Coturnix japonica: one gene and its partners. The protein of the gene in region 2 purifies or fractionates together with the protein of the main gene of each other region. This does not show direct contact. Links are inferred from orthologs where the notes say so. Each region holds a gene or a part of one and is shown on either strand. Other genes may lie near its edges.

Evidence for each region.
Region 1: the proteins of UPF1 (region 2) and ALYREF purify together in Homo sapiens (co-immunoprecipitation; 3 studies listed by BioGRID and IntAct, with this or other methods). This does not show direct contact. The link is inferred for Coturnix japonica from reciprocal best matches to the Homo sapiens genes UPF1 and ALYREF.
Region 3: the proteins of UPF1 (region 2) and UPF3A purify together in Homo sapiens (affinity purification with western blotting; 5 studies listed by BioGRID and IntAct, with this or other methods). This does not show direct contact. The link is inferred for Coturnix japonica from reciprocal best matches to the Homo sapiens genes UPF1 and UPF3A.
Region 4: the proteins of UPF1 (region 2) and EIF4A3 purify together in Homo sapiens (co-immunoprecipitation; 8 studies listed by BioGRID and IntAct, with this or other methods). This does not show direct contact. The link is inferred for Coturnix japonica from reciprocal best matches to the Homo sapiens genes UPF1 and EIF4A3.
Region 5: the proteins of UPF1 (region 2) and XRN1 purify together in Homo sapiens (affinity purification with western blotting; 4 studies listed by BioGRID and IntAct, with this or other methods). This does not show direct contact. The link is inferred for Coturnix japonica from reciprocal best matches to the Homo sapiens genes UPF1 and XRN1.
Region 6: the proteins of UPF1 (region 2) and histone RNA hairpin-binding protein purify together in Homo sapiens (affinity purification with western blotting; 4 studies listed by BioGRID and IntAct, with this or other methods). This does not show direct contact. The link is inferred for Coturnix japonica from reciprocal best matches to the Homo sapiens genes UPF1 and SLBP.
Region 7: the proteins of UPF1 (region 2) and SMG7 purify together in Homo sapiens (affinity purification with western blotting; 7 studies listed by BioGRID and IntAct, with this or other methods). This does not show direct contact. The link is inferred for Coturnix japonica from reciprocal best matches to the Homo sapiens genes UPF1 and SMG7.

What each region holds. Positions count from the first base shown.
Region 1 is NC_029533.1:4,445,422-4,449,608, reverse strand, and holds the start of ALYREF (THO complex subunit 4), read right to left. Parts: upstream 2,801-4,187; 5' UTR 2,711-2,800; coding exon 2,480-2,710; intron 2,289-2,479; coding exon 2,157-2,288; intron 78-2,156; coding exon 1-77. Other genes in the region: ANAPC11 (anaphase-promoting complex subunit 11), read left to right, coding at 2,886-2,994, 3,215-3,360; NPB (neuropeptide B), read left to right, coding at 3,502-3,699, 3,976-4,104. UniProt on the Homo sapiens protein: Functions as an mRNA export adapter; component of the transcription/export (TREX) complex which is thought to couple mRNA transcription, processing and nuclear export, and specifically associates with spliced mRNA and not with unspliced pre-mRNA.
Region 2 is NC_029543.1:2,808,894-2,812,393, forward strand, and holds part of UPF1 (regulator of nonsense transcripts 1), read right to left. Parts: exon of another isoform or gene 3,127-3,500; intron 1,902-3,126; coding exon 1,759-1,901; intron 1,380-1,758; coding exon 1,290-1,379; intron 758-1,289; coding exon 590-757; intron 205-589; coding exon 24-204; intron 1-23. UniProt on the Homo sapiens protein: RNA-dependent helicase required for nonsense-mediated decay (NMD) of aberrant mRNAs containing premature stop codons and modulates the expression level of normal mRNAs.
Region 3 is NC_029516.1:123,396,221-123,400,294, reverse strand, and holds the start of UPF3A (regulator of nonsense transcripts 3A), read left to right. Parts: upstream 1-1,274; 5' UTR 1,275-1,301; coding exon 1,302-1,438; intron 1,439-4,074. UniProt on the Homo sapiens protein: Involved in nonsense-mediated decay (NMD) of mRNAs containing premature stop codons by associating with the nuclear exon junction complex (EJC) and serving as link between the EJC core and NMD machinery.
Region 4 is NC_029518.1:14,287,432-14,291,440, reverse strand, and holds the start of EIF4A3 (eukaryotic initiation factor 4A-III), read right to left. Parts: upstream 2,801-4,009; 5' UTR 2,718-2,800; coding exon 2,546-2,717; intron 2,462-2,545; coding exon 2,389-2,461; intron 2,303-2,388; coding exon 2,236-2,302; intron 1,224-2,235; coding exon 1,161-1,223; intron 813-1,160; coding exon 680-812; intron 10-679; coding exon 1-9. Other genes in the region: NINL (ninein-like protein), read left to right, coding at 3,333-3,400, 3,490-3,627, 3,908-4,009. UniProt on the Homo sapiens protein: ATP-dependent RNA helicase. Involved in pre-mRNA splicing as component of the spliceosome. Core component of the splicing-dependent multiprotein exon junction complex (EJC) deposited at splice junctions on mRNAs.
Region 5 is NC_029524.1:8,847,450-8,851,674, reverse strand, and holds the start of XRN1 (5'-3' exoribonuclease 1), read left to right. Parts: upstream 1-1,425; coding exon 1,426-1,716; intron 1,717-3,829; coding exon 3,830-4,062; intron 4,063-4,225. Other genes in the region: serine/threonine-protein kinase ATR, read left to right, coding at 27-132, 802-975. UniProt on the Homo sapiens protein: Major 5'-3' exoribonuclease involved in mRNA decay. Required for the 5'-3'-processing of the G4 tetraplex-containing DNA and RNA substrates. The kinetic of hydrolysis is faster for G4 RNA tetraplex than for G4 DNA tetraplex and monomeric RNA tetraplex.
Region 6 is NC_029519.1:76,098,016-76,101,109, reverse strand, and holds the end of histone RNA hairpin-binding protein, read right to left. Parts: intron 2,976-3,094; coding exon 2,826-2,975; intron 2,268-2,825; coding exon 2,183-2,267; intron 1,530-2,182; coding exon 1,413-1,529; 3' UTR 501-1,412; downstream 1-500. UniProt on the Homo sapiens protein: RNA-binding protein involved in the histone pre-mRNA processing.
Region 7 is NC_029523.1:4,337,830-4,341,329, forward strand, and holds part of SMG7 (protein SMG7), read right to left. Parts: intron 3,072-3,500; coding exon 2,952-3,071; intron 2,581-2,951; coding exon 2,148-2,580; intron 1-2,147. UniProt on the Homo sapiens protein: Plays a role in nonsense-mediated mRNA decay. Recruits UPF1 to cytoplasmic mRNA decay bodies.

The DNA of each region.
Region 1 (4,187 bases), on a different chromosome or scaffold from region 2:
GCTGTTCCTAGACTGCGTCCGGATCTGTCGTAGTGCACTGCTGCCTTCTTCAAGGTCCCAAATTCCGCAAAGAGTTCCTGAGAAACAGAGGGAGAAGTGAATATGCTTCAGTCAGCTCTGCAAACACCGAGCAGCCCAGAGAAGGTGCAGGCAGCTCCTGCTTTCAGCAATATCATGTACATTCCATGACACCACGCAAATAGCACCAGTGAAAGAAGGAACACAGGCCACTAAAGACTTCCAGAAAGCAGCCACAGGTGGCAGAAACAAACAGGATTTCATATCCACCACTTGAAGGGTGCTTGTATACAGCCAACAAAGTGGCCCCAAGGTATGCTGACCTGCTCCTCTTCCCAGGGACATTGCCAGTCTGTATAAACTGAAAGCAGGAAATCTTCTACTGAAGAGCATCGTTTACCATCACGAGCGATGGAAGGCTGCAACAGTGGAGCCACCCATTTTGTTTCACAGAGGCTACATCTAAGATGTACATCTGGGGACATCTCACTACTTTGCAAGTTTATACCTACACCCCACTCTTCAAATGTTTGAAGCACACAGAATTGTCAGGTGTCCAAAGCAGACACCACAGGCTGCCTTCCATATCACCTGCAGCAGAGCCCAAACACTATTCCAGCCATCTCTATAATTCCTATCCAAGCATTTGAAAGGAGCATATAAATATTTTCACTTCTTAAGCCAGCTGCACTTTATGCAAGCCTGTCAGTGAGTTTCTCTACTGTGTCCATTTACTAAACATGAACATACAGCACCCAACAAGCTTTCTGGAAGACAGCACCACATGGGAGGAGAGGTGCTCCATCACATCCCTGTCCTGCAGAGAAGCTGGAGCCACAGCACCACACATACTCCTACAAGAGCAACGTGAACGAGGCTCCCACCAAGCCCCTCATTCCTCAGCACTGAGCTGAGCAGAACCATATTAATGACACAATCAGCACAGAAACAAAGAAAACAATCAGTGCAGCTTAGTGGAAAATTACGGGATGGGCAGTAACAAAGAGGTACAAACCCATTAAGTCAGCTTTGCTGCTACATATAATATACACAGATGTTTGTCTGCTCCTGCAGTTCAAGCCAACTGTGAAAAGGAAACATTCAACTGCCACACAAAACACATTAATTCCTTACATTGAGATAACTTTACAGATTCACTTTTACACGTTTGGGCCTGATTACAGCAAACAGGAAATGTATATCAACTGAAACTAAACTCACTTGAGGAAAAAACAGTGGTTTTAAGTGCATCGCTCAATAACTAGGTGACCTAAAAAAGCTCACTTCCAATACTCCTGATGCAGACAGGTTGAACCGGAATGAATTAACAGAAGAAAACATAGAAGTGATTTAGTTATTTTTTTCTAGAGGAGATGCAAGGACCAGAAACCATCCAAAGCTCTTTGCAATGTGACTAAGTCAGGAAAACCCTTCAGATTGGATGCTCCTTGGATCTGCAGATGTTTCTGCACAACTTGTTGCCCACAAGTAAGAGCAGCCCCACAGCTGTGACTGCTGTGTCACAGGCACAGTGACTGCAAACAGCCTGCACCCAGGGCACAGCTGGAACAAGGGATTGAGCTGCAGCTGGTAACTCAGCTAGAACATTTATCTGTCATAAGATACATGTGGTAATTGTGGAAATGACAACATGAGCGAGCAGGTACCCCCTCACAGACCAGACTTCTCAATATCACTGGTGCTTCTATAAGAACACCTTGAGACTGAACAAAACTTTAACAAAAAGTACATAAACAGGTACTATGAAAACAGCGCCAATAGATGTATATATAGAGCTACTGAACGTCTGGAATTACACAGACCTTAAAAGCTCACACAGCCTGTGCTAAGCTCTGCAATCACAGCAGGACTGAGCGAAGGCAACATCCCCCCCACAGCATCGTGGTAGAGATATTTCATATGTGATTACCTACAGCTCCATAAAGACTGGGACTCTTCTGAATCCAGCCACTCCAACTGCTCAGCTCAGAGCCCCAGCAGTGCGTGAAGCAAAGGGCCAGGCACCGTGTGAAGGGCCCTTCCAATGGGAGCAGGGCCAGCAATGCTCTATGGCCACCCCCAGCACCCAGCACCGATGGAATGAATGAAACCCCCCGGGAACAGCGCCGAGCCCGTACCTGGATATCCGCATCTGAGACGCCGAAGTCCAAGTTGGAGACGAGCAGCTTCCCGCCGGTCTCCACCCCGGCGCCGGCCCCGAAGCCGCTGTCGAACAGATCGTGCTGCCACTTCTCGGGGAGCTGCTTCGGCTGGAACGACACGGACGTTTCGCTGAGCGCCGCCGGGTCCCGCCGGGACGGCTCGACCGCCGGCAACGGACAAAGGGCCGCCCGTCCCACCGCCCCCGCCCCGTCCACGAACCGCCGCCCCCCGCCCCGCACACCGGCCCCCTCCCTCCGGGCCCCGCCGACCGGGCTCCGCCCCCGCCCCCGTCCCGTACCCGGCTGTACGGCGCGGGCCGATTCCTGCCGCCGCCCCGGGCCATCACCGGCCTGTTCCTCACGGGGCCGCCGCCCGCTCGCCCGGCTCCCACGCCGCCCCGACCGGGCCCGCCCCCGCGGGTGACGCCGCCTCGGCCCCGGCCTCCCCGGCCGCCGCCCCGACCGCCGCCGCGTTGGCTTCGGTTGAGCTTAATGATATCGTCCAGGGACATGTCCATCTTGTCGGCCATGATGGCGGCTCCGCTCCGGGGCCTGCGCTTCCGGCCGCGCTGCGCCGACGCCGGAAGCGGAAGAGGCGGGACCGGCGGGCGGAGGCGCGCGTTCAGATTGGCGGGGCCTCGTGGGGGCGGCGGGCGGTACTTCCGGCGGGGCGGCGCGGACCGGAGAGCGGCACTTCCGGCGGCGATGAGGGTGAAGGTGCGGAGCTGGAGCGGAGTCGCCTCGTGGCTGTGGGTGGCGAACGACGAGAACTGCGGGATCTGCCGCATGGCCTTCAACGGCTGCTGCCCCGACTGTGAGTGCGGCGGGGCCCGGCACGGTACCCGGTCCGGTACCGGGTATGGTACTCGGTATGGTACCCGGTATGGTACCCGGTCCGGTACCCGGTATGGTACTCGGTATGGTACCCGGTCCCGTACCCGGTCCGGTACCCGGTCCCGTACCCGGTACTGTACCCGGTATGGTACCCGGTCCGGTGCGACCCGGCCCTTCCTGACTTTGTGTCCACGCCGCAGGCAAAGTGCCCGGGGACGACTGCCCGCTGGTGTGGGGGCAGTGCTCGCACTGTTTCCACATGCACTGCATCCTCAAGTGGCTGCACTCGCAGCAGGTCCAGCAGCACTGCCCCATGTGCCGCCAGGAGTGGAAGTTCAAGGAATGATCCTCCCCGCCTCCTCCCGCCGCTCCGGTCCCGGTTCCGTGGGCGGGGAGCGGCGCTTTCCCTCGTGCTGCGCGGCGGGGGCGGCCGCGGCCATAAAGACCCGGAGCGGCCGTTCCGCAGCGCTGCGCCCCCGCCGGCACGATGCGAGCCGCCCGCTGCCTGACTCTGGCTGTAGCCGTGATGCTGCTGTGCCGCCCCGCCGCGCCCTGGTACCGGCAGGCGGCCGCTCCGCTCTCCTACCCGGTGGGCAGAGCCTCGGGGCTGCTCTCCGGTCTCCGCCGCCTGCCCTACAGCCGCCGCTCCGACAGCAGAGGTGCCGCTGCTCCGCTCCGCACCGCGGTGAGTACCGGGATGCTCCGCTCCAGGAACGGGCTGGTACCAGGAATGCCCTGATTCCAGCAATGCCCTGATTCCAGCAATGCCCTGATCCCAGCAATGCCCAGATCCCAGCAATGCCCTGATCCCAGCAATGCCCTGATCCCAGCAATGCCCTGATCCCAGCAACGCCCAGATCCCAGCAATGCCCTGATACCAGGAACACCCACCTGCCCGGCTCCGCGGGCAGCCCTGCTCCAAAGTTCCCACCCAGGAATCTCTGTGATACTTTCCCCACAGGTGCCGTGTGTGATGGATGTGGACCCCAAGCTACGGAGCTGTCGGCTGCTATCGGGAGTCCCCGGTGCTCTGCAGTGCAGTGTGGCTGTAACCGTGTCCTTGGGCTCCACAGAGTGTGGGGGGGCCTGAGGTGGCACGGTGACTATAGTGACAATAAATGCACGTGGAATGGAAAGATGTTGTCTGTCCTTAAGGGGAGGGAAGCCTTTGGG
Region 2 (3,500 bases):
GGTATCTGAAATGTGGGAAATACCTTCCAAAGTTCTTCCAGTTTGTTAATCTGCTGAGCTGTAATCTGACGTGCTCTCAGCTGTTCCTGCTCAGATGGAATCTTTACCAGCCACGAAAGGAAACAGCGATCTTGGATAAGAGGCTGCCACTGTGAACTGTCCCAATTAATATCCTTTAAACTGCTCTGACTTGCACATGGCTGCCTGCACAACCAAAATATTGGAAAAAGTTATTACTTTGAAACAGCTGTAAGGGAATCTACCAAAGTATAAGAACATGTTTAATGTATTCTTCAAACATATTAAGCATCTTGGTTAAAAGAAGAGAGCCAACACTAGTAGCCTGCTGAGCCAATTCATCAGTTCCTTCATTTGGTATTTCAACACTGCAGAGGCAAGGTATCCTGATCAGAATTTCTTCTGTATTATTAGGACTGAAAAAACTCAGCATCTAAGATACTAAACATGACGTAGGGATAAAAAGGAGAGTATAAAACACTGAGGTACAAAGTGAAAGCTGATGGCTGTCATGTAGAAATCCAGTTGTGCAATACTTAACACAAACACTGTAATAAAGGCATTCTCTCACCTGCACAGCAAAACAACCACAGAGTCTGCCTTAGCTGGAATAAAGCCAAGGAGAAACACATTACGACATCCGCAGTTGTAACATTCCAGGACAGTCTCTCCTAGAGGTCCATCTTTATGGAGAGTCACCTCTTTGCACTTTGCTCTCACAAGATGATTAACAATGTGGCTGAAACCAGAGAGGATGTGTATTTATAAGCAGTCAATATGAAAACCAGATTTAGTTCTAACTTTATGTAACATAGCAACTCAGTCATTATTAAGAGATAAACAAAAACCTATTCATACTTTGGCAGACGTTAGTAATTCCCTGCTCTTTTCATCCAGGCCAAGATGACTGCTGACAGTTTCAGTGTTTTTCCAGTGCATAAATACTTTGAAGTGAATGTGAAAGAAGGGGCAATGTGTAAGAAATTGTTATTTGGAAGCAGCTTCCTGACGCTCCAGAGATCACAGCATGAGTTACGCTGCTCTGCAAGAGCACAGGGGGAAGAAGCAGTGAGCTCACGTCACAAAAGTAATTCAGGTTCCACTGAGATGAAGCTGTAAGCTCATAACAGGAAAAGGTAGAGGTTGGAGGTTCACATTCAAGTCACGAGACTTCAATCATGGTGGAAAATATAAGTCACACCCATTATGCCATTTCAAAACAAACACTAAAGCAAGTTTGCCCATCTAATTTCCATCATTTAATCATTTACCTGCCAGATGTATTTCCACGCCCATTACAGAACCACTTTTTGCTGGTGTTGCAGTAAACCACACAGGCAGGGTCATGGATACCACAGTAACTGGAAATGAAACGAGATGAGGAAGTGGTTGGGAAATTGTTAATAGGAAAATGCAAATACAAGATTTAGAAGTGCACAAAATAAGGCGAAGTGAAAATTAGGAATCATGAGAGTTGTTGGAAGCACCTAACACATGAGTTAAACATCTGGTCTGAGGCAAGCTCTTTAACTATTTCTATCATTACCATTTCTAGGATGGCTCAACTTTGTAGTCCTTAGAAGAAAGGCCCAAGAGCTCAGCAATGCAGCACGGTCAGAGCACGCAGGAGCTCAGCAGGGGGCACTCCCAGCCTAGCAGCAGGCGGTTGCCAGCTCTTAATATTCCAGCCATGCACATTGCACTCAGTGCCCCCACCTTCAGGAAACGATCAGCTCTCACCTGCAAGCATGCACGGGAAGATCCTTTGTATAGTAAGTATCTTCTTCATCTTCTTCAAAATTCAGCTCTGCCAGAAGCTGGCTGGTTTTAGCTACATTATCATCCACTGCTCCATTCTGCAGAATGCCATCAGGTCCATTAACCTGCAGTACAAGGTCAGTGCTTAGGTTATACTATCAAAATATGTTCAGAACAAATGGTAATCCCTACTTTGTTATGTAAAAACTTATCTTTAACTCAGGAAAAAGCTCAGAAGAACATAAAACCGATAAGAGTTTGAAATACACACCACATATAACAAAAATAATCACTTATACATTGTATATATAATCAATGCTTGCTTCATTAGTTCCTATTTGACAGGAATCATGAAGCGTCAGTTCACAAATAGGAAAAATGAATGACAAAAGTCAATTTTTCTCTGAGGATTATCTTCTTCTCTATCCACCAAACCAATCCTCCTCCTCAGAGACTCCAGAAGCGAAGACAACAGGGAGCAGGGGACCAAGACCAGTTCCAATGCATATCTAACTAAAATAGAGCAAGAAAGAACAGAAGCTGGCTCTCAGCACACTGCCCAGCTCTCTAAGCAGCATCACTTGCTCTGTGTGTATCACCTGTATGACATGCAACCAAATAATCCAGGTGTGACAATCCCTACTGTGTTACTCAGAAATTGTTTTAGCCACCATAAAAAACAAAGACGTCTCATTAAGTTACCCAGGAAACACACAAACTCCATTCAAACTAACACAGCCCGAGTTCTCAGAGCAATGCCTTTCTACATGGCTAACACAGCACACAGAACAGGTGTTCCCTCTTTGCACTGAGGACACAACCTGCCAGCACCACAAAGCTCTGCGTCAGCACGTTTGACACATCAAGTCTTACTCACGTTAAAAATAACTCCATTTTGGCAATACTCAGCGCAGTGCTTTTACCAGCAGGAAGGAGCACCAACAGGTGTGAATGGCACAAAGCAGACTTTAGCTTGACTAAAGCAGCCATTGTCCCTTGGGACTCCTGAGCTTCCAGTTCCATTCTGCCATAGTAACCACATCTCTGCAGACTGACAGTCATTGGGGGTGGAAGGGAACTGCAGCAGCTCAACACTGAATAGCATCTTCTTGGCTGTTTCTGTGTGTGTTTCTTAGCACACACAAACCTCTCATCCTACAGCAGAGCATTCAGGCCTGCAGTGATGACAACACGATGGCACCCATCTGTCAGCAGCGGGACCCAGCAGCTGTGCTGCGCCTCAGCAGGCACACAGGAAGGAAGTGGCCCAACTATTGTTCTAAACTCGATGCCATGTTAGTTTGTGTGTGTGTTATTAAAATCAGGCAGCACCAGCTGTTGTGTAAGATTTGGGGGGGGGGGGGCTTCTCTATTTTAAATGTGTTGACTCAAACTTCTGGCACAGCAAGTTTAGCAGCCACACCAAACAACTTGCACGGCTCTGAGAGCTGCTGGTCCCTCCCTGGCTCCTCGTTGGCCTCCAAAGTCCTGCTCAGGAGACAGCAGCAGTGCTCAGGGGAACCGAGCTGCACTACAGCACAGCAGCTGACCCAATTAACACAGCAGCTTGCAGTGACCGCGCTGAGCCCCAGCCGGGTGACAGCAGCTTCCTTGCTGTGCTGCTGGCTGACGTACCCACCCACACACCAACCCATCAACAGGCAACACAGCCATCAGCACAGCTGTACTTTAAAGCTGTCAGGCTGCAGCAAAAGAAACGATGA
Region 3 (4,074 bases), on a different chromosome or scaffold from region 2:
AGGAAATGGCCACAAGTTGTATCAGATGAGGTTTAGACTGGACATAAGAAGGAACTTTTTCTCTCAGAGAGTGGTCAGGTGCTGGAATGGCTGCCCAGGGAGGTGATGGAGTCGTCATCACTGATAGTGTTCAAGAGGTGTCTGGACAGGGAGTTAGGAGATATGGTTTAGGGGTTTCCTGTATGTATGGTAATGGGAGGACGGTTGGACTAGATGATCTTGTAGGTCCTTTCCAACCTTGTGATTCTAGGATTCTATGAATTAGGTTAGTGCTTGTTAAGCTTGTGTCTATACCTCAGGGAGGACTTCAGGAGAAGCTTCTTTCCTTAGTTCTGTTCTATCTGCTCATGTTCTGCCTAATTCTTCATCCTTGCACCTGCATCTCCAGTGCCTCCCAGCACCTGTCCTGCTCCAGCCTGTGATTAACATGTCAGCTAAAGCCATGTCTTACACATAACCTGCTCTCTTGCAATCTTGAACCTCTGTGGGATGTCTTTGCTGTTGTCCTCAAGGTTTTGGTGATGGGGATACAGAAGGATGAGGGCAGACATGACTAGGGTTATAGACAACCACATAATATCGCGACCATCCCTACTCTGGGAGCTAAGGAACTCCTCTCGCCCCTCAGCGGAGTCTCGCGAGATTCCGCCCCTCAAAAGGGCAGTTCTCGCGAGCTTTCCATCTAGTTGCGGGCGGCGGCTCCATGCGGTCGGAGCGGGAGGTTGTGCTGGTAGCGGTGAGGGGCGGCGGCCGCGACAAGTGGCCCATGGAGGTGCCTCTGCGACGGGAGCCGGACACCGCATTCAACCCACCGCCGTCCCCGGCGCCACCGCTTCCCCCGGCGCCGGTTAAACAGCGAGATGAGAAAAAAACGGCGCTGAGCAAAGTGAGGGGTGTTGGGGCTGTGGGGGCGCGTAACCGCCTCGCTCGTGGCGGGCTGCGGCTGCAGGTGCTGTGGTACCGCGGCCCCCTGAGGGCAGCCCTGCCTTCCCCGTTACCGCGGATGTTGAGTTTAAAGGAAATTGCTGTTGGGGAGCGGTGGGAGCGGACCGTCCCGATGGCTGTGTGGCCATTTTGGTGCTCTGCGCGATGCTGTTGAGTCCCGTTGCGTTTAGGGCGAGCGAGCCCACCTTGCTATAGGGAAACGCACCTGTGTGTGTGGTGTGCTGGGCTTCGGGTACCGCCCAGCGTCAGTCCTTGTCGGGACACCGAGGCTAAGGCTGCAGCCGCAGCTCCCAGATGAAGGAAGAGCTTTTAGAAGGGACTTAGGCGATTTATTTGGTCTTTTTCGTGCTATTTAGATGGAGGATAATTCTCTTTTGTCTATGCAGGTGGTTATTCGACGGCTTCCTCCTTGTCTAACCAAGGAGCAGCTGGAGGAGCAGCTACATCCTCTCCCTGCTCATGATTATTTTGAGTTTTGCACTGCTGATCCCAGGTGAGGATGAGGTGTCCGTGTAGGTTTTCAGGTGCTTAAAGGCTAAGTAAGGAAGTTTGGACCCTAAGTTACTTATTTTGCCCACGGAGCCTGTTTTGTAAGTTACGTAAAATGTTTGGATATATACATGTGCGGTGATAATACATCCCTGCCTCTTCCTTGTATACTCGTGGTTTTAAAACATATATATTTTTTGGTGCAATTAGAGCATAGTTTTGTTTGAAAACGTCATCCTGCTTTTAACTTTAATTGGTAAAAATTATTAGGCTGTTAATTGCCTATGAAAACCATGACATAAAGACAACCGAGGGCAAATATCATCTAAATTCTCATGAACGCCATTCGATTATTAATTTGCTTATGTATTCTTGTCTTTATTTCATACCTTTTTTTTTTTTTCCAAGTAATCCACTCTTATTCATTTTTGTCTCATTCAAAATGTAAAAACGAAGCAGTGGTTGACTGACAATAAGGTAATTTCTGATATACTTACTTAACATGCACATCACAGCGCCAAAATGCCATTCCCTTTTGAACAGAGCGATTTCTAGACAAACTTAACCATGGAAGTAATCATAGCATCCAATGTGCTACATGTCCTTGTGCTCAGAATAATTAAAGGATGTGATTCATCTTGCCCAGCTTAGCCTGCTGCTGTGTGTGGTGAATCATCCTCCACATAGATATATGTATATACATAGATATATGTTTTCTCAGAGTCAGTTCCGCAAAGAGAGAGGAACCAGTATCTGTTTAGTAGAACTTTGTGGCAGTTCATTGCTTGCCTGACTTAGGCTGTTAGGCATATACACAGCATCAATACCATGAAGGATGTGAAGGTAGGTAAGGGTAGGATTTAGTCTGCCCTGGAAGACAGAACAAACATTTGTGGTCCTACCTCCATGCTTTTGTAAGACGTGTACATATATCAACTCCTTTTTTACTGTTTTCGTGATAAAGGTTACTTGTAATTTGATAATGTTCTTATTATATGCAAACTGTAAAACTTTTAACAACTTCATATAACTCAAATGTCATTATTGTGTAAACGCTGTTACATCCATTTCAGTAAAATCATTTCACAAAGTTTGACTGTTGTGTTGTATTTCATTCATTTCTTCTGATACATTTGATTCACTGCATTCAGTTCAGTTTTCTCTCTTGTACATTGGGATCAAAATACAAGCAAAAACTCTGTGTTTCTGACTGATTCTGTGGCCTTTAGGGGTGTTTGATAAGTATGCTGTATCCTATAGCTAACAATGAAGAGGCTGCCTACTGGATCTGTCTTGTTCTTAGGTGCCAAAAAAGAGCTACATCTATGGCGCAGTGGTAGGAATGCCGCTTGCAACACCAGAGGCCCGGGTTCGAATCCTCCCTGTGGCTCAAGTGGTAGAAGTGCCGCTCTGCTACACAAGAGGCTCGAATCCTGGGGGTTGGACTCGATGATCTCTAAGGTCCCTTCCAACCCGCACGAGCTTGTGAGACTGTGAGATTGTATCTGAGCCTTCTAAAACATTGGTGCAGTGGTTGAGTTATGGTCCTGCAGCACTCGGGTCATCCCTCAGGATTGGTACTGACTGCAGAACTCACTGAAAATGTGATATATACTATTGTTGGATAAAAAGCTTGAAGGGGTCTGAAACACACAGATGAGGCTTTTATACATTAAGCACTGATGTCCCACTTGTGTTTGAGGACCAGCTCTGTTTGTAGAAGCAGCTCCATCAGAGGAGGGATGTGGAATTTCTAGGCATCGTCACAGCTATGCTTTCATGACCTACCCTGATATCTGGCAGCAGTAATGGAGAGAGAATCTCCATTGTTGTGTGCCTCCAGTGGCGCAGTGGTAGGAATACTGCTTTGCAACACCAGAGGCCCGGGTTTGAATCCCCCTGTGGCGCAAGTGGTAGAAGTGCCGCTCTGCTACACAGGAGGCCCGAATCCCAGGGGGACTCGATCTCTAAGGTCCCTTCAACCCGCATGAGACTGTGAGAATCCAATTTGATTTTGCTACTGTGCATACCAGTATCAGACTGTGGACAAACATGCTGTAGTAGTTATGTATGTTTCTGCTGACATGAAGTTCTTGAAGACTTAAAATGTGTTTCAAAGACGTTGGATCCCCTATTTTGAAGACAGATTCTAAATCCCTGCTTTCCAGGGATTGTGTCTGGAGAACATTTACATGTTCCAGACACTTTTTTTTTCTTACTAACGTGTTTCTTTGTTTGAAAGATACTCTGATATCAAAGTCTAAGCAAAAAACATTAGAAAAATATTATGTTGGAAAATACTGTGCTTCTGTTCCAGATGGGAAATAGATGGTGTTGGTGTGCAAGATGAAGGAAATAACAGGAAAGTGTATTTGCATTTCTTTTTCATGAGTGTTATGTGTCCAACTGTGAGTGATAAGTTACTGCAGAAGAAGTAAATCAAGTTACTGCAGAAGAAGTAAATCTATGGCCAAGCAGTTCTGTGCACTGAGCTGGAGAAGTAGCTTTTTTCAGTTAGTTTTGTGGAAACTGAAGATTGATAAAGCACTGCAATAGTTGTTAAATTGGGGACTTAAACTCAGGACTTCTCAGTCTTTGATAGCAATGATGGCAGAGGACTGGAGCACCTTCCGTATGAGA
Region 4 (4,009 bases), on a different chromosome or scaffold from region 2:
GGATCATATCTGTAAGATTTCACTTTGTAAGATGAAAAGGCTCAGAAAGCAAGTGAGCCTACACTGCTCCCAGCCGCTGTCAGTGCATTTCACTGGAGGAGGGACTGGCACTTCCCCTGTTGCCAACAGAGACTGGTGTTTGGTGATGGAAAAGCAGAGCCAAGTGCCACAGTGCTCCCCAATACACCCTGCAACCAGGGGAAGTGGACACAGAAGAGAAGGCTCCAGGGAGACCTCACTGCAGCCTTCCAGTAGTGGAAGGGAGCTTATAAGCAGGAAGAAGACAGACATTTTACATGGGCATTCTGTTTCTTGTTTTGAGACTCAAACAGACCCAGCTCCTATCTCTTCCACAACACTGAGATAAGCCCAGGATTGCAATATTATCACCATTAATAATATTGTTTTCTATGGCACGATGTAAACAACCACTTTGTTAATAAAAGCAAGGGATAAACAGATAATCCTAATTCTTTCCCCAATGTTTGCTTTCTCATCTCTTCCAGCTACTACTACAGTGAATTTACCCTTTGTTGCTCTTCATCACTGCATACACTGATGGTATCACAATAAATGCAGTTTCCATGCTATTCCAAATCTAAATGCATTAAATTTGCAGGATGGTCCCATGGCTCAACTGAAGTGTGAACATGGAAGCACACAGTCTCCCAGCTCTTACCAAACACCCGGCCTGGAGTGCCAGCAACAACGTGCTGCCCATAATCCAGCTTTCGGATATCTTCACCCACGTTGGTCCCCCCGATGCAGGCGTGACACTGGACATTCATGTAGTCTCCCAGAGCAAGAAGACCCTATTTGGACATAAATAATGAATCAACTGAGCTCTTATGGCAGGCTTTCAAAGGCTGGGGATTTGGTTTATATCCCAGGAATCACAACTACTTTTAAAGAGTACTGTACTTAGAAATCCAGGTAGGAATACGTAAAACATTAAGACTGCTAACTAACCCATCCTGTAAGGACCAATGGATATAACACAGAAGGGAGAAACAGCCCTTCATTGGGATTTCTTATTCCATTCAGGACAACGCATTCCTTTGAAAAGCAAAAGTTGCACTTCTAGCTCTGCTGGGGAACACTTGGAGAATCTGCATCAGTCTTTATAAGTACCGTACAGGCAGTAATTCACATGTTCCTACCTTCTGAATCTGCACAGCCAGCTCTCGAGTTGGTGCTAAGATCAGTGCCTGGGTCTCGCGAACCTGTTGATCACACGGCAGTTCATCACATAGCAAGTACAGTGCAAGCAGAAACAAACAGAATAGAGCCCACAGTACCCTGAATTGTCACATCTGAATGATCAATGGTACAATTTTGCATCGGCACACCCAGAAAGCTGCTCCCGCATGGAGTGCTTACACATTTATAGCCCCTTACATTATGTTATAAGACTGTGCCTGACCACACAATGCATGCCAGAGAAATAGATTCAGCCCTCCAATGAAAGCAAACATAGAATCACAGAATTGTAGGGGTTGGAAGGGACCTCTAGAGATCATCAAGTCCAACCTCCCTGCCAAAGCAGGCTCCCTACACCACATCACAGAGGTTGGTGTCCAGGTGGGTCTTAAATATCTCCAGAGAAGGAGACTCCACCACCCCCCTTGGCAGCCTGTTCCAGTGCTCCGTCACCCTCACTGTAAAGAAGTTCTTCCACACATTCGTGCGGAACTTCCTATGCTGTACTTTCATCCCATTACCCCTAGTCTTATCCCCATGCACTACTGAAAAGAGACCAGCCTCACCACTATGGCTCCCACACCTCAGGTATTTATAAACCTGGATCAAGTCCCCTCTCAGCCTTCTTTTCTCAAGGCTAAACAGACCCAGTTCCCTAAGTCTCTCCTCACAGGGGAGATGCTCCAGGCCCTTCACCATCTTTGTGGCCCTCCGTTGGACTCTTTCCAAGAGATCCCTGTCTTTTTTGTACTGGGGAGCCCAGAACTGGACACAATATTCCAGATGAGGCCTCACCAGGGCAGAGTAGAGGGGAAGGATCACCTCCTTTGACCTGCTGGACGGGACCTTTAAGACCACCTCATTCCAACCCCTGCTATAGGCAGGACACCTCCCTCCAGACCAGGCTGCTCACAGCCCCATCCAGCCTGGCCTTGAATGACTCCAGGGAGGGGCATCCACAGCCTCTGGGCAACCTGTGCCGGTGTTTCACCACCCTCACATAAAGACAACCGCCATGTTCCAAGTATGGCCTACCTGTATGTCCAGGCACTGCAGCACACAGATGGAGAACGTGGCCGTTTTCCCTGTTCCCGACTGTGACCTGAGAACAGAGGTGTAGTGAACTCTCTGCCGTTCCGGAGGTAGCACCCACCCCTCCCCCGCATCCCTCCCCCCCGGCCCACGTACTGCGCGATCACGTCTCGTCCCTTGATGATCTGCTTGATGGCTCTCTGCTGGATGGCCGACGGCTTCTCGAACCCTGCAGGACATGGCTGTTACAGCGCAACGCCGCCATTTTCCTCCCCCCCTTCCCCCACACCGCCTCGGCCTTCCCGCCGCGCACCGTAGGCGTAGATGCCGCGCAGCAGGTCCTCCCTCAGCCCCATCGTGTCGAACGTGGGCGTCACGTCCACCTCCTCGCTCGTCTCGAACTCCACCTTGGTCATGTCTTCCTCCTTCATGATCCGTTTCCTCGCCGAGCCGGTGGTGCCGCCGGAGCCCGCGGACCCCGACATGGCTCAGTCAGGCCTGGTCGCCCTAACCGCGAGCTACTACAATGGCGGCGCCGCCGCACACAGGGCGCTGCGCATGAGCGGGATCCGGCGGAAGAGGTGGGAGAGAGGAAGGGGCGGGGACGGGAGCGAGCGGGGCTTGGAGCTGGGGTCAGGGCTTGGGGCTGGTGTGTGTGTGAGGGGTGGGAGAACTGATCGTGGGCAGGTTGCAATGGGAGGGTGGGCTTTGGCCACCACAGGGCTGGGGTGGGTGTTAACTAGGTCCTGGAACAGGCTGCCCAGGGAGGTTGTGGATGCCCCGTCCTTGGAGGTGTTCAAGGCCAGGTTGGACGGGGCCCTGGGCAACCTGATCTAGTAAAGGTGTATGTTTGGTGGCCCTGCCAGGCAGGGGGGTTGGAACTACATGATCCTTGAGGTCCCTTCCAACCCGGGTCATTCTGTGATTCTGTGATTCTGTAACTAAGGCTCTTGTTGAGATGGGAAGCTGCCTCTTGAGAGCAGTCAGGTGGCGTAACATTAGAGGTGTTGACAGAAAGGAAGAGTGGTTTCACTCAGTGCTTCTGTTTCAGAGACCGAAGGAGCCCGGCAGAGCTGCCTGCAGCCCTGGACAGCACAGCCATGGTGTCACAGAGTGGGCTGCAGCGTGCAGACATCACCTCCTATACGTACAAACTGCAGTGCCTCAAGTAAGGGTGCTGCTCCTCGTGAGGGGCAGAGCCTCCATTGGGCTGCAGGAGGTGTCTCTGAGCTGAACGCACCCTTGCTCTGCCTGCAGAAGCCAGGTGAGGCGAATCTCCAGAGAGAGGGACACGGCCAGACTGGACTTGGAGAAAGCAGAGAGACGCTGCCTGCAGCTCAGGAGGGAGTTGGACGAGCAGTACATCGCCCTTAACCATAGCCAGGGCAAGCTCAAGTAGGAAGGGTTCTTTTGGTTGAACAGGGAAAATGGGTCCCCACTGTCTCTTCCTCCTTATCCCAGTCCCCCTTTCTGAATATCTCACTTATTTGGACGTTGTGTGAGTGGCATACAAGCCCCTGAAGATCCCTTGTGTGCACTTCACTTGCGCTTCCTGTATCCCTCCAAACAAGTTCTGCTCTTCTGCTTTTTGTGGGGTGAGCATGGATGCCTGGACCTCACAGTAATCTGAGAATGTGTTTCAACTGCTCTCAGACATGTTGCTTGTCTGTTCCAGGGATGCTCAGACTGAAATGGAGGTGAAAGAGCTGCTTTTGCAGCAAGCCATCAGCCATCAAGTGAAGCTGGAGGCTGATGCACGGTTCCTCCAGGGCAAAGA
Region 5 (4,225 bases), on a different chromosome or scaffold from region 2:
TTTTTTTAATTATTTTTTTTATTTAGTGTCTTAAAGACTTTTCTTCATGATCCTCTTGTGGAGTGGAGTAAGCCTGTTAAAGGGAATACAAAAGCACAGGTGAACGAAACTGGAGAAGTTGTCAATGAAAAGGTTGGTTGAAAACAAATACAGCATAAAGCATTCAAATGTTACTTGTCCATTGCTGGTACAATTTGTGTATTTTCTAATAGGAAGCTTAATTTTCCTTTTATTCATTTTCCTTCATTTAAAAATTACTGTATTTTTTCTAATTAGTCTGTATCCCTTTTTAAGGTTAAATATTCTTTTTATTGGTGGAGAATATAATTTATGTACTAAAGAACCAAGCAAAGCAAAATTCATAACTTTGTCATTAGTATTACTAAACCATCAATAACATCAACAGAAAACAGAGGGTGGGCAAGGCTCTTGCCTTTCCATATTCTAAGACATGCATGTGCTCCTGAATTAAGTGCTGGTAATACCTGAAAAGCATTCCACATGTGCATGCATTTATTTACAAGCAGTTCTATGAAATAAAACATCCTAACATTTCCCAGTACTTTTGTGTAGCTTTTCCAGTCTGTTCTGTTAAATTTCATCTGTAAAATTTAAGGCAAAAAGCTGTAACTCAACGGGTAGTCTATTCATTTTAAGTGATAAATAAACCTTTCACTGGTGCAGCCATTTGGGTCTTGTATTAAGTTAACGTGCTGATTGCAGATATCACAATGAAGACTTTCTAAGATGTCTATGAACAGTAGCAATATTCATTTTTTCTTCCTTTCTCTTTGTTTCTAGGCCAAAACCCACGTCCTTGATATAGAACAACGCCTACAGGGTGTTATTAAGACTAGAAACAGAATAAAAGGATTACCCTTATCTATTGAAGGGCACGTTCATTACCTCATTCAAGAAGCAAGTGACGACAATCTGCTCTGCCAGATGTATATGGGCTGGGCTCCATATATGTAACACTTGTTTGCTTCAGAGAGGTGCCATTCACAACTGGTGAAGCAAGCTGTGATATTCTTAAGAAGGTATCAATGAGTGTTAACTGGTTACTTGTGTTTTCTGTTTGTAAGCACTGATACTGGCTTCTGACCAATCTGGTCTATGTAGAATATGCACTTGGAAATATGAATGCGTTTACGTGTTCTTTACATATACAGGGCAGCACATTAAAAGTTAAATAGAATGTACAAGGCTTTGCAAGTTTCTTAGGTACAAACCTACTCTGGGTCAATTCTTGGTGTTGAAAGGATGTATGGTAACTTCAAAAACACTGTATAATTTTGTAAAGGTTTTCTCATTCAGTTTGGCTGTAGAATAAAAAAGTTGACATTAAATTTCATACTGACACAGTTGAGAATTGGTTGTTTAAACTTTATTCTGCATTGCCTCGTACCTGAAAAGAAGGGCCCGATGTTGGTGTGTTCTAAGGGCTGTGCTGCTCTGTTACCGTTAGCGATACGCGGCGCTGCTCGGCAGGGGGCGCTGCAGTGTGTACCCGCCGCTCTGCCCGCCGCTCTATGGCGCGTGCTGCTGTCAGCGCGGTGCGCCGGAAGGAGGGCGGAGCGGAACGGAGCGGAACGGGGCTGGGGTTGTTTGGGTCCGACGGGGCGGCGGGGAGCGGCGGCCATGGGGGTCCCTAAGTTCTACCGGTGGATCTCGGAGCGGTACCCCTGCCTCAGCCAGGTGCTGAAGGAGCATCAGGTAAGACCAAAGCGGGGCTTCGGGGCCCGCCGCCTCTCCTTCCCGCTGCGGAGGGGCCCTGTGGGGTGAGGGCCGGAGCCGGCTGGTCTGCAGCCTGACGGCGGGGGAAGGAGGGAGGGAGGCACGCGAAAGCCCCTGAAGGTCGGGGTGCTCGCTGCCCCAGCACTGGGGGTCCCGGAGCCCCCGGCCGCAGGCAGTGCTGCTGTACCCGCCGTCGTCCCGCTGTATTGATACCCACACCCCGCTTGTGCCTTTTGTTCCCGGCCTCGCCGGCTGCGGGTTCGCTCCGTGCCGCGCTCGGTAACTCCGTTATCGGCAGCGCCGAGAGTCGGGCGGGCAGACCCTGCTGAGAGAAACCGCCGTCGGTAACAGCTGGTCTCAGTCCGTTTCTTGTTGTTGGTTTCCGCCGGTGTTACCGACGTGGTTTTATAGCTAAATAAAGACGTTCTGAGGGGAGGCGGTACGTTGTAGTGTGTGAACGTTGCTTCTAGACACGTAGTGTTTCAGGTGACCCAGTAGCTGTTGTATTAAGGCACCTTCGGCTCTCGAGCGGTCCCTTGGCCCTCCCATGAAGCTGCAGCATCTCCCTGGGCTCCCCGGCTGCTGTCCTGGCGGGCTGAGCGCTGCGTGTCGCCCCGCGGAAGAGAAACAGAAAGCGCTGCTCGGGGCGGCCGTGTCACAGTCACGGTCCATCTGAAGTGTCTGTGCTGTTACTTCCTTGTGTGCGGAGTATCTGCCGCTTATGGAGGAGGGGAAGTGTCTGTACTGCTGTTTATGACCCAGAACAGTAAAATGTATCCGTATTCTTCCTTTTCTTTCACGGCAGCAGAAGGCAGCCTCTCTGGCTGATAACTGCTTACTCAGCTTTTCCAGGGCTTGGAAAATTTACTTTCAGCTTTTTCCTGCTGTGGCCAAGATGCATCAGGTGGCATTTTTTGCCAGCATGCATCTGATGTCCCATTTATTACGAATTATAAACAGAGCATTGACTAAACTGTGCTATCATCATGTCTGCGCAACAAAGAATTTGTTATTTCAACAGGAACCCTGAAATATCCAAGTCTGATGCCCCTTGAGTTGATTTTGTACTCAGTGCCGTGCTGTCTGGTACTGAAGCACCGGGAAACATTATTGAAGTATTTAGACCATCTGCTTTATCACTTAATCTGGCAAGCATTTCTGTCCTGAAGCGTTGACCTTTGGTCCGTGTTCTAGGATTTGGAGAGGTTTCTTCTGTGCAGTCTGACGCCTTTTGATTGGGTTCAGAAGAATTCTGGATAGTTGGGGGACAGAATCAGGAGTGGATTGCAATTAATGCTTGAGTTTTTAATGCTGAAATGTTTATTTCTGCTGATTGGATTTTGTATCAGCTTCACGAGCTTGTTAATGACTGAACTGGTCCTTCCCCTTTTGACAAAATAAGAACAAAATAAAATCTGTGATAGCTGTGGAAATTCCATCACAACAGAAAGAAAATTGCTAAGTTCTAACAGCGGTTTGCTTGGTGCTTTGTGTGGCCCTTCAAAAGCAATCTGAAATGTAAGGTGGTGTTCACTTTGCTTTGTAAACATAGTAGAAGAGTTGTGTCTCCTCTTGAGTAAAAGATGGTTTGTGTGTGACTTGCTGTCAGTCACATACCTTACTCAGGCTCCTTGCAGCCTGGATAGACTGGTTAGGCTGGCACAGTGATCCCTGCTGCTCCTCTATGTGCAGTGCCCCACTGCTTGTTTTCTGAGTGTTTTCTTCGGCAGTGTTGTCTGAGGGGGATGGAGGAAAACTTTCTGATCTGGGTTGGGGTTTATTTTTGTTTCCTCTTCTTTTGCCCACTGTAGACCACTTATCTAGGCGACATCATTCCTTCTGTATGCTATTAAAGACAAAGCTGCTCATAATAATAATAAAAGGCAATTGTCATGTAAAATATGTTTTTTAAAATCATATCGTAACTATGCTGCTTAGGTAGTTTATTTTTCATATATATATACTGCATTGGTGCACAGTACATTACAGGGAAATCTTCCACCTCAATTCATTTCCAGACTCAGCCATACCTTGCATAGTGATTGCAATGCTTCATCCGTCTCCCATTGAGTACTAACTGTGGCTTTTTTAGATTCCAGAATTTGACAACTTATACTTGGACATGAATGGCATTATACACCAGTGTTCACATCCAAACGATGATGATGTTCACTTCAGAATATCCGAAGATAAGATTTTTGCTGACATTTTTCACTACTTAGAAGTACTGTTTCGCATTATTAAGCCAAGGAAGGTTTTCTTCATGGCAGTTGATGGTGTAGCCCCAAGAGCAAAAATGAATCAGCAACGTGGCAGACGGTTTAGGTGAGAATATTTGCTCCTGCTCTGTCTTTAGAATAATAATTATTTCTTGCAAATACATACTTAAAAATATGTTATGACAAATAAAATATATTGTAAGCAGGCAATGCCTTTGACAGTGGCTTTAATTTTTAGGTAAATGAAGGTAGCTGCCACTAAGATGTTA
Region 6 (3,094 bases), on a different chromosome or scaffold from region 2:
ACACAGCAAGACAACACCAAACTAGATGGTTTGGGTATCTCTGCTTATTATGGCAGGTGTACAAGCAGCATAAGCAACTGCCACCAGTTGTTAAGTGGCACAGAGGCAGAACCACATGAAGCCTTGATGGGCTGATGCCAATCACATGCATTCACTATTAAATAAGAAAAACAAAAGCAGAATATCTCCCAGTAAGTAGTCATGATTCGTAATCGCGCTCCCATGCAGCTTCACATGCAATTTTCAGACCTACCATCCAAGTTAAAAGATCTGCCACAGAGAACAGTCACAATGATACCCAGGCAGTCAGGTTTTGAGGCCTTTACCTTTCAGCTAGAACACAGAAGCCTTAAGGAGCAGCACCGAATGATTCCATACAGACATGGACAAGCGTGGCTTGACCTTAAGACCACCTTAACCCCACAGCACAGATACGTGACCTTCAGTGTTTCCTTTGTGTCATCCACAGAACACCCGTAGTGGGAAAAGAAGCTTGGGAGTCATAAAGAAATCCATATCCATTTATTTTCCAGCAACATCCCATACAAAAGCAGTAGAAACATCAACTGCATTCAGCAGAAAGTCTGTACAGTGTTATCATTTACAAGTTTTACATTTAAAAACCAGCAAATTAAAAAGAATCGGTTATTTTCCCCAGACATTTTTTGCTCTTGTCTGTATTAACAAGTAACTCACCACTATTTACAAGTTCCAAATGCAGGTTATAGTATTTTTAAAGTAACATTACTGCTACCTACGTCTTTCCATATTGACGCTTCATATTAAGTACTTTCTTCCCAGTTGTTTCAAAAACATTTTTGTAAATGAAAACAATCTGTGGTTTGTTGGGTGGTTTTTTTTTTGTTGTTGTTTCTTTGCTTTTATAAACTAAGGCAGCCAAAACTGAAGTAACTGCAACAGACAAATGTGCTGATCAGCAACATGCTTCTGCTATCACCTGCATTACATCCAGGCAGATCTTTGCAGTAGGGACAGAAGGAGAAGCAAAATGACATATGTATGATGAAAAACCTTTCCCTGCTCTGCTCTGGATCTGCTGGTGAAACACTGGAATTAAGGATAACAAAGGGAAAATAAAATGGCAAGATCTTGCCCCATTGTCTGTAATTCCTTGAGGGTTGCATTGCCTTCAGCTGTTATTTTATAAAGTTTTGTTAAAAAAAATATTAAAAAAATATCTGATATACATAAATTAAAAGGTAAAAAGAAGCCACACTGTTGAATTCAGACATAAGTTTGGTCCAGACAACAGGTAGACCAACCACAGCTTCACTTTTTAACTTTGCTTAAGATTTCTTGCTATTGACAGGTGGAAAACGCTCAACTGATGAATCAATCTAATGCCTCAGATTTCAAACAAACTTGCTCTAAAATGATTTGCACAGAACTATTTAACTCACAGTATTTAAATCTTTAAGAGGCTCGCTCAAACATGCTTCCAAGTCAAATTCGCCTTCTGCTTGATAGTCAATGTGTCTAACTTTGGTGGGAGTGCCAGAACAGGTATCCTGGAATACAAAGTCAGTTAAAAAACAGGAGTTAAATGCAGGTTTATTGATGCAATAATTCACATTATCTTCTTCTGCAGTTCATTTAGGCCACTTTGTAACAGAGGCTTACAAACTCTTCTTTAAAGGCCATACAAAAACCTAAGGCTGGTCTTAAGACTGACAACATTCAAATGAAAGCTTCTGTCCATTCATGCACTTTCTATTGTTCAGTCCCTGAATATAGCAGATTATGGAATCTCTCATGTGTTCAGGCCATTCAGAATCATAGAATCATAGAATTACCCAGGTTGGAAAAGACCTTGAAGATCATCAAGTCCAACCGCAGCCTAACCAGTACCCTAACTCTAACAACCCTCTGCTAAATCATATCCCTGAGCACCACATCCAAATGGCTCTTAAACACAACCAAGGGATGGCAAATTCAACCAACCTCCCTGGGGAGCCTATTCCAGTACTTAACTACCCTTTCTGTAAAGAAATTCTTCCTAATATCCAACCTAAACTTGCCCTGGTGCAACTTGAGGCCATTTCCCCTCATCCTGTCACTTGTCACTAGTGAGAAGAGACCGCCCCACAGGTTATTCAGGTTGTAATTCTAATGACTGGACAGATTATTAGCAAATATTTATGCAAATAAGAGGTTTTCTTACATAATTATCTTGACAGCTCGTTTGAGATTCTGTAGAATTGCTTCCTATGGATTCTGTCTCCATCTCACCGAGGTCAACAGGACTACTGCGAAACAATTAGAAAGCATACACATCTTAGAGCAAATCATAACTTTCAGTAGGAATCCATGGGTGCACTTGTGAATAACAGTTAAACTTCAACAGTACCTAGAGTTGATTTTACAAGTATTTCTCTACTCCACTCAAGAAACAAGAATATACCACTGTTCTTGAACCAGTAAGCGAGAAGGTTGTAAGGCATGTCCCAGCACACTGTATTGGTCTGAGCTCAGAGAACTGCCAGTCAATCAGAACTCCACAGTACTGCTTCTAATCCAGATTGCTCTGCAAAAACCAGCCTGTCTTACTGGCATGATTTTTCCCTTTAAAGAGCACTGTGGTATCGACTCTGATTTCATCCACTGGAGATTCATTTTAGAAGCAAAGGCTGCAATGCCATTCCTACCAAGTACATACTGAAAGCTATTTCATATCACTGAGAAAGAACTGAGTAACACTCAAGAGCACTAACCATGGACTTGTCTCATAAATGGCCACGCTGTTTTAATGTATCTATTATATATATCTTAAATATATCTATTTATTTAGAATATTCCACACGTACATTTCTTGCAGATCACATCCTTCTTCGGTCGGTGGATCCCAGGAATGCAACGCAACTTTCCACAGCTTTATTTGTTGGTCCCACGACCTACGGCTGTACTTCTTAAATTTATTTGGAGTTCTGGGATGAACTCCTGGTATACGATGGCATCTATTCAGACATGGGGAAGATAAATTAATGCTTTCCACACAGACTTATCATACAGATGAAAAAATTATGACAGTGCTGTAGACTGCTTGAAAGGCACATTATAACCATTCAACCCAGGA
Region 7 (3,500 bases), on a different chromosome or scaffold from region 2:
CTGAAAGCTAACTTACTGAATTTGTTTAATCAAGAAAGACATATTTCAATTGCTTCCCTTGCTTCAACTTGATCTCACCTCAGAAGCAGCAATACTACCAAACCTTTACATCCCTACTGGTCTTGAGGCTTCCCACCTAGTGTTTGGGTGAGGCACCATTTCCTCCCAGTGGCCTTTCAAAAATACAATACCTTGAGTAAGTTCTGCATTATATCTTTCTTTGCATCTAGCATCATCACCTCTACTGAGGAAAATCAACCTGTGCCACATTTTCATGATCCTGTGCATGCAATTTCCCCACTAATCCACGAAACAGGATTAATTACTTCCCTACAGCATTCTTAACATTTTTGCAAGGTAGGATCTGCAATGACTGTAGCTTTGAGGCTTTTGAATCGACTACGAAGTAGATAAAGCTTAAAGTTTCAAGGAAAGAGAAAGCAAGTAGACCTCTGACTGGTACAGAACCTACACTGGCTTTTTTTCAGCAGGGGAAGGAGAAAACCCTCCCCATGTTCTGCAGTAGATATGGGTAAATAAGTCCTCCCAGTTGTATTAAATAAAAAAAATTCTGTAATTGTTAATGTAAATAGAGCTGATCAGGCTAAAAAGTCAAGGTTAATAACTAGGAAACAAGAGATGAACACTAACCAGACAGATCAGAACACAGTATGCTACAGTTGGATTTGAAACGTGTTTTGGTGGTTTTATAAGTCTTAAAACTAAAAAAAAACCTTTAAAAAAAAAAAAAAACTAAAAAAAAAAAACCAAAACAAACCATTAAATATTTGATGGATCAACTAAGTCAAAATGACAGCATCTTCCGTATGCAAAAAACCACACAGACTTATCAGAACATCATGTTTTTTCAAGTCCTCCTTTTTCAAGACTGCGGCACAAACACTGAGCCTGGGATTTATGCTCAGGCCTGCAACCACATTCCAGACATGTTCAATAAATTCCTGTTATTCTAACTCACCTACCTAGGCTGTTTTTCAGGTACCAGTCTCTTGTTCAGTGACTCACAAGCAACTGCCACATGGTTTCTGCAAGCTACTCTCCTTCACACCAGCAAAGGCCTTGCCAAAAAATAACAAATGCTGCCAGTGCAGACCTTCCAGCTCATAATGACAATGCCTAACAAGAAATAATCAGGAGGATAATAAAAATGATTCGAGGGTCCTACCAATGCAAGCTATAAAGGCTCAAAGAACTGGTTTGTCTAGACTAGGGAAAACAAGATCTTGCAAATAAGGCTATCAGAGAGTAGAAGTAGTTGGCTTACGCAGTGGCAAGGGAGATAAGTGCATAAGGAAAAAGATTTTCCTTGTAAGAATGGTGAAGAACTCACACAGTTTCTCTAGAGAAATAACAGCATCTCCCCATCACTGTCATTAAACTCCTCCAGACAATACCTGGAAACGGCTGAGATACAGACAAAACTCTCCAGGTACAGACTAGATAAACCCTGAAATTATCACTACACCCCAACGGAAGCCAGAACAGTAAGTTCTGCTTAAAAGGTGACCATTTTTTGTACACAATGCTCATGTAAGTGCAGGAAAAAACCCACACCTTCGAAAAACACAAGTAGAAAAGAACCGCTGATGTGATAACCAACAATTCTGAACAAGGATGTGAGCAGTCTAATTGCAGTCTAAAAGCTGTGTGGCTTTCTTTACTTTCAAGGAGGTCTATCTGACTTCACATGTAGTACAGTGATGCAGTCAATTTATTGAATGTGCAAGCAACTGAACTGAAAATGCAAAGTACCACCCAGCTCCTTCACAGTAAAACACAGCTGGGAAAGAGTGTGACTAGGACCTGGTCATGCAAGCTGCTCTGTTAACCTGACCAATATGTGGAACAACAGCTACAAGTCCTTGCTCTTTAAAAACATGAACACACAAAATTTTACTTTTCACCACTCCTCAACTTTTCCTCCCCCCAAAATTGAGACAGCATTAAGGAAAGGGGCAGAAATCCAAAGATAATTAATGACTGGTCTCTGAGGTTCTTTGCGCAATACAGGTATCTGCAGGATCCATAGAGACCTCAGTTCTACAGTATTCTGTGCAAGCAGTGATGGCCCTCACTCAAATATCATACTGCCTAAGATACAGTGTCCCTTTGATCTCAAGGCTTACCTGAACTGCCACATTCTGCTTTCCTGCTTCCTGTATCTTATCCACACCGCATTTCTTTGTTTCGGTCTTTCTTTTGTTGTTATCCTTCTTTCCATCATTCTTATTGGCTACTATTCCTTTGCTATAGTCCCGTCTTTCCCTACCCACATCCTTAGGAGGATAGATTCGCCCTTGCTCTCTGTTCATTTCCCGTGGCTTAATATTTTCTTTAAACGTGACCATTGGTTTTTCTCCTGAGTCACAGTTGTTTAAACTTCTGCCAGATGACAGAACTGATTTGAGTCCAGGGCTCCCATCTGTGGACAGCGGCTCTGCAATAGATGTTTCCTGCAAGGCGAGGCTCTCTTTGGCTTCACTAGGGTCTTCTAGTATTAATTCTGGGATTTCAGTCAAGAACAACAGCTTTCCCACCTCATTTTCACACTGAATCAGCCTGAAAAAGACAGAGGAATTGAAAAGCAAATCCAAACAGGTTTTCATGTAGTAATCTCACACATTAGCACTCTTGCTACTGCTGTTCCTCTCATCTCAGCTTTGCTTCAGTATCACTATGAAGGCCTTATCAAATATGATGTTTCACTACAAATACATTCCTATCAGAACTAGCTCATGTAACAGCATACTAATTCACAGCACGTTATTAGTGCTGCCAGTCTTTCAGCATCAGTGAAATGTGTACACCTTATATAAAATTGCTCTTTAAAATAATGAGAAAAACAAGTTCACCTCTGTCACTTGTACTGCCTAAGCTTACAGTAGCAACTGAAAAATCACTATTTGCTACCTAAAGCTATTTGTGATTACCTGGGCTGGTTATCAGCAATCCATTTGCCTGTGAAGATCAGTCGCTGTTGCCGTATCCGACGCTGTTGCCCTTCTTTGTCTCCTGTAATTGCCTGGTGGCCTTTGGAAAAATCCAAGTTCCTAGCATTGAAATAAGAGAGGGAATAATATCAATTACACTGCTCCCCTCAGCAAAACCACATTCCTTTAGAAATACAACCAGTCAGTATTACTTTATCATAACTTCTGGTACTTCACCAGATCCCACTCAAAATGAGACAGTTACAGATGTCTGAGTTACAGATTCAATTCTCTACGTTAAAGATGCATATTTTTGGAGCATGACATTAGTCACAGGACACAGATGAAAGCAAAATTATTTTCCTCATTTCTTATTTTTTTCCCTTTCAGTTTATAGTAGCCTGAAGACTGCAGAAGAGAAAGTCATAAGCAATTCTGTAAGCTTATAATTTTCCTCAGAGCTTTACTGTAGACTGGCACAGAACTTATTTTCCTCTTCAAAAATGGAGATCAAAGCCCTGTGTTATCCATTCCACATAGTAGCACAGG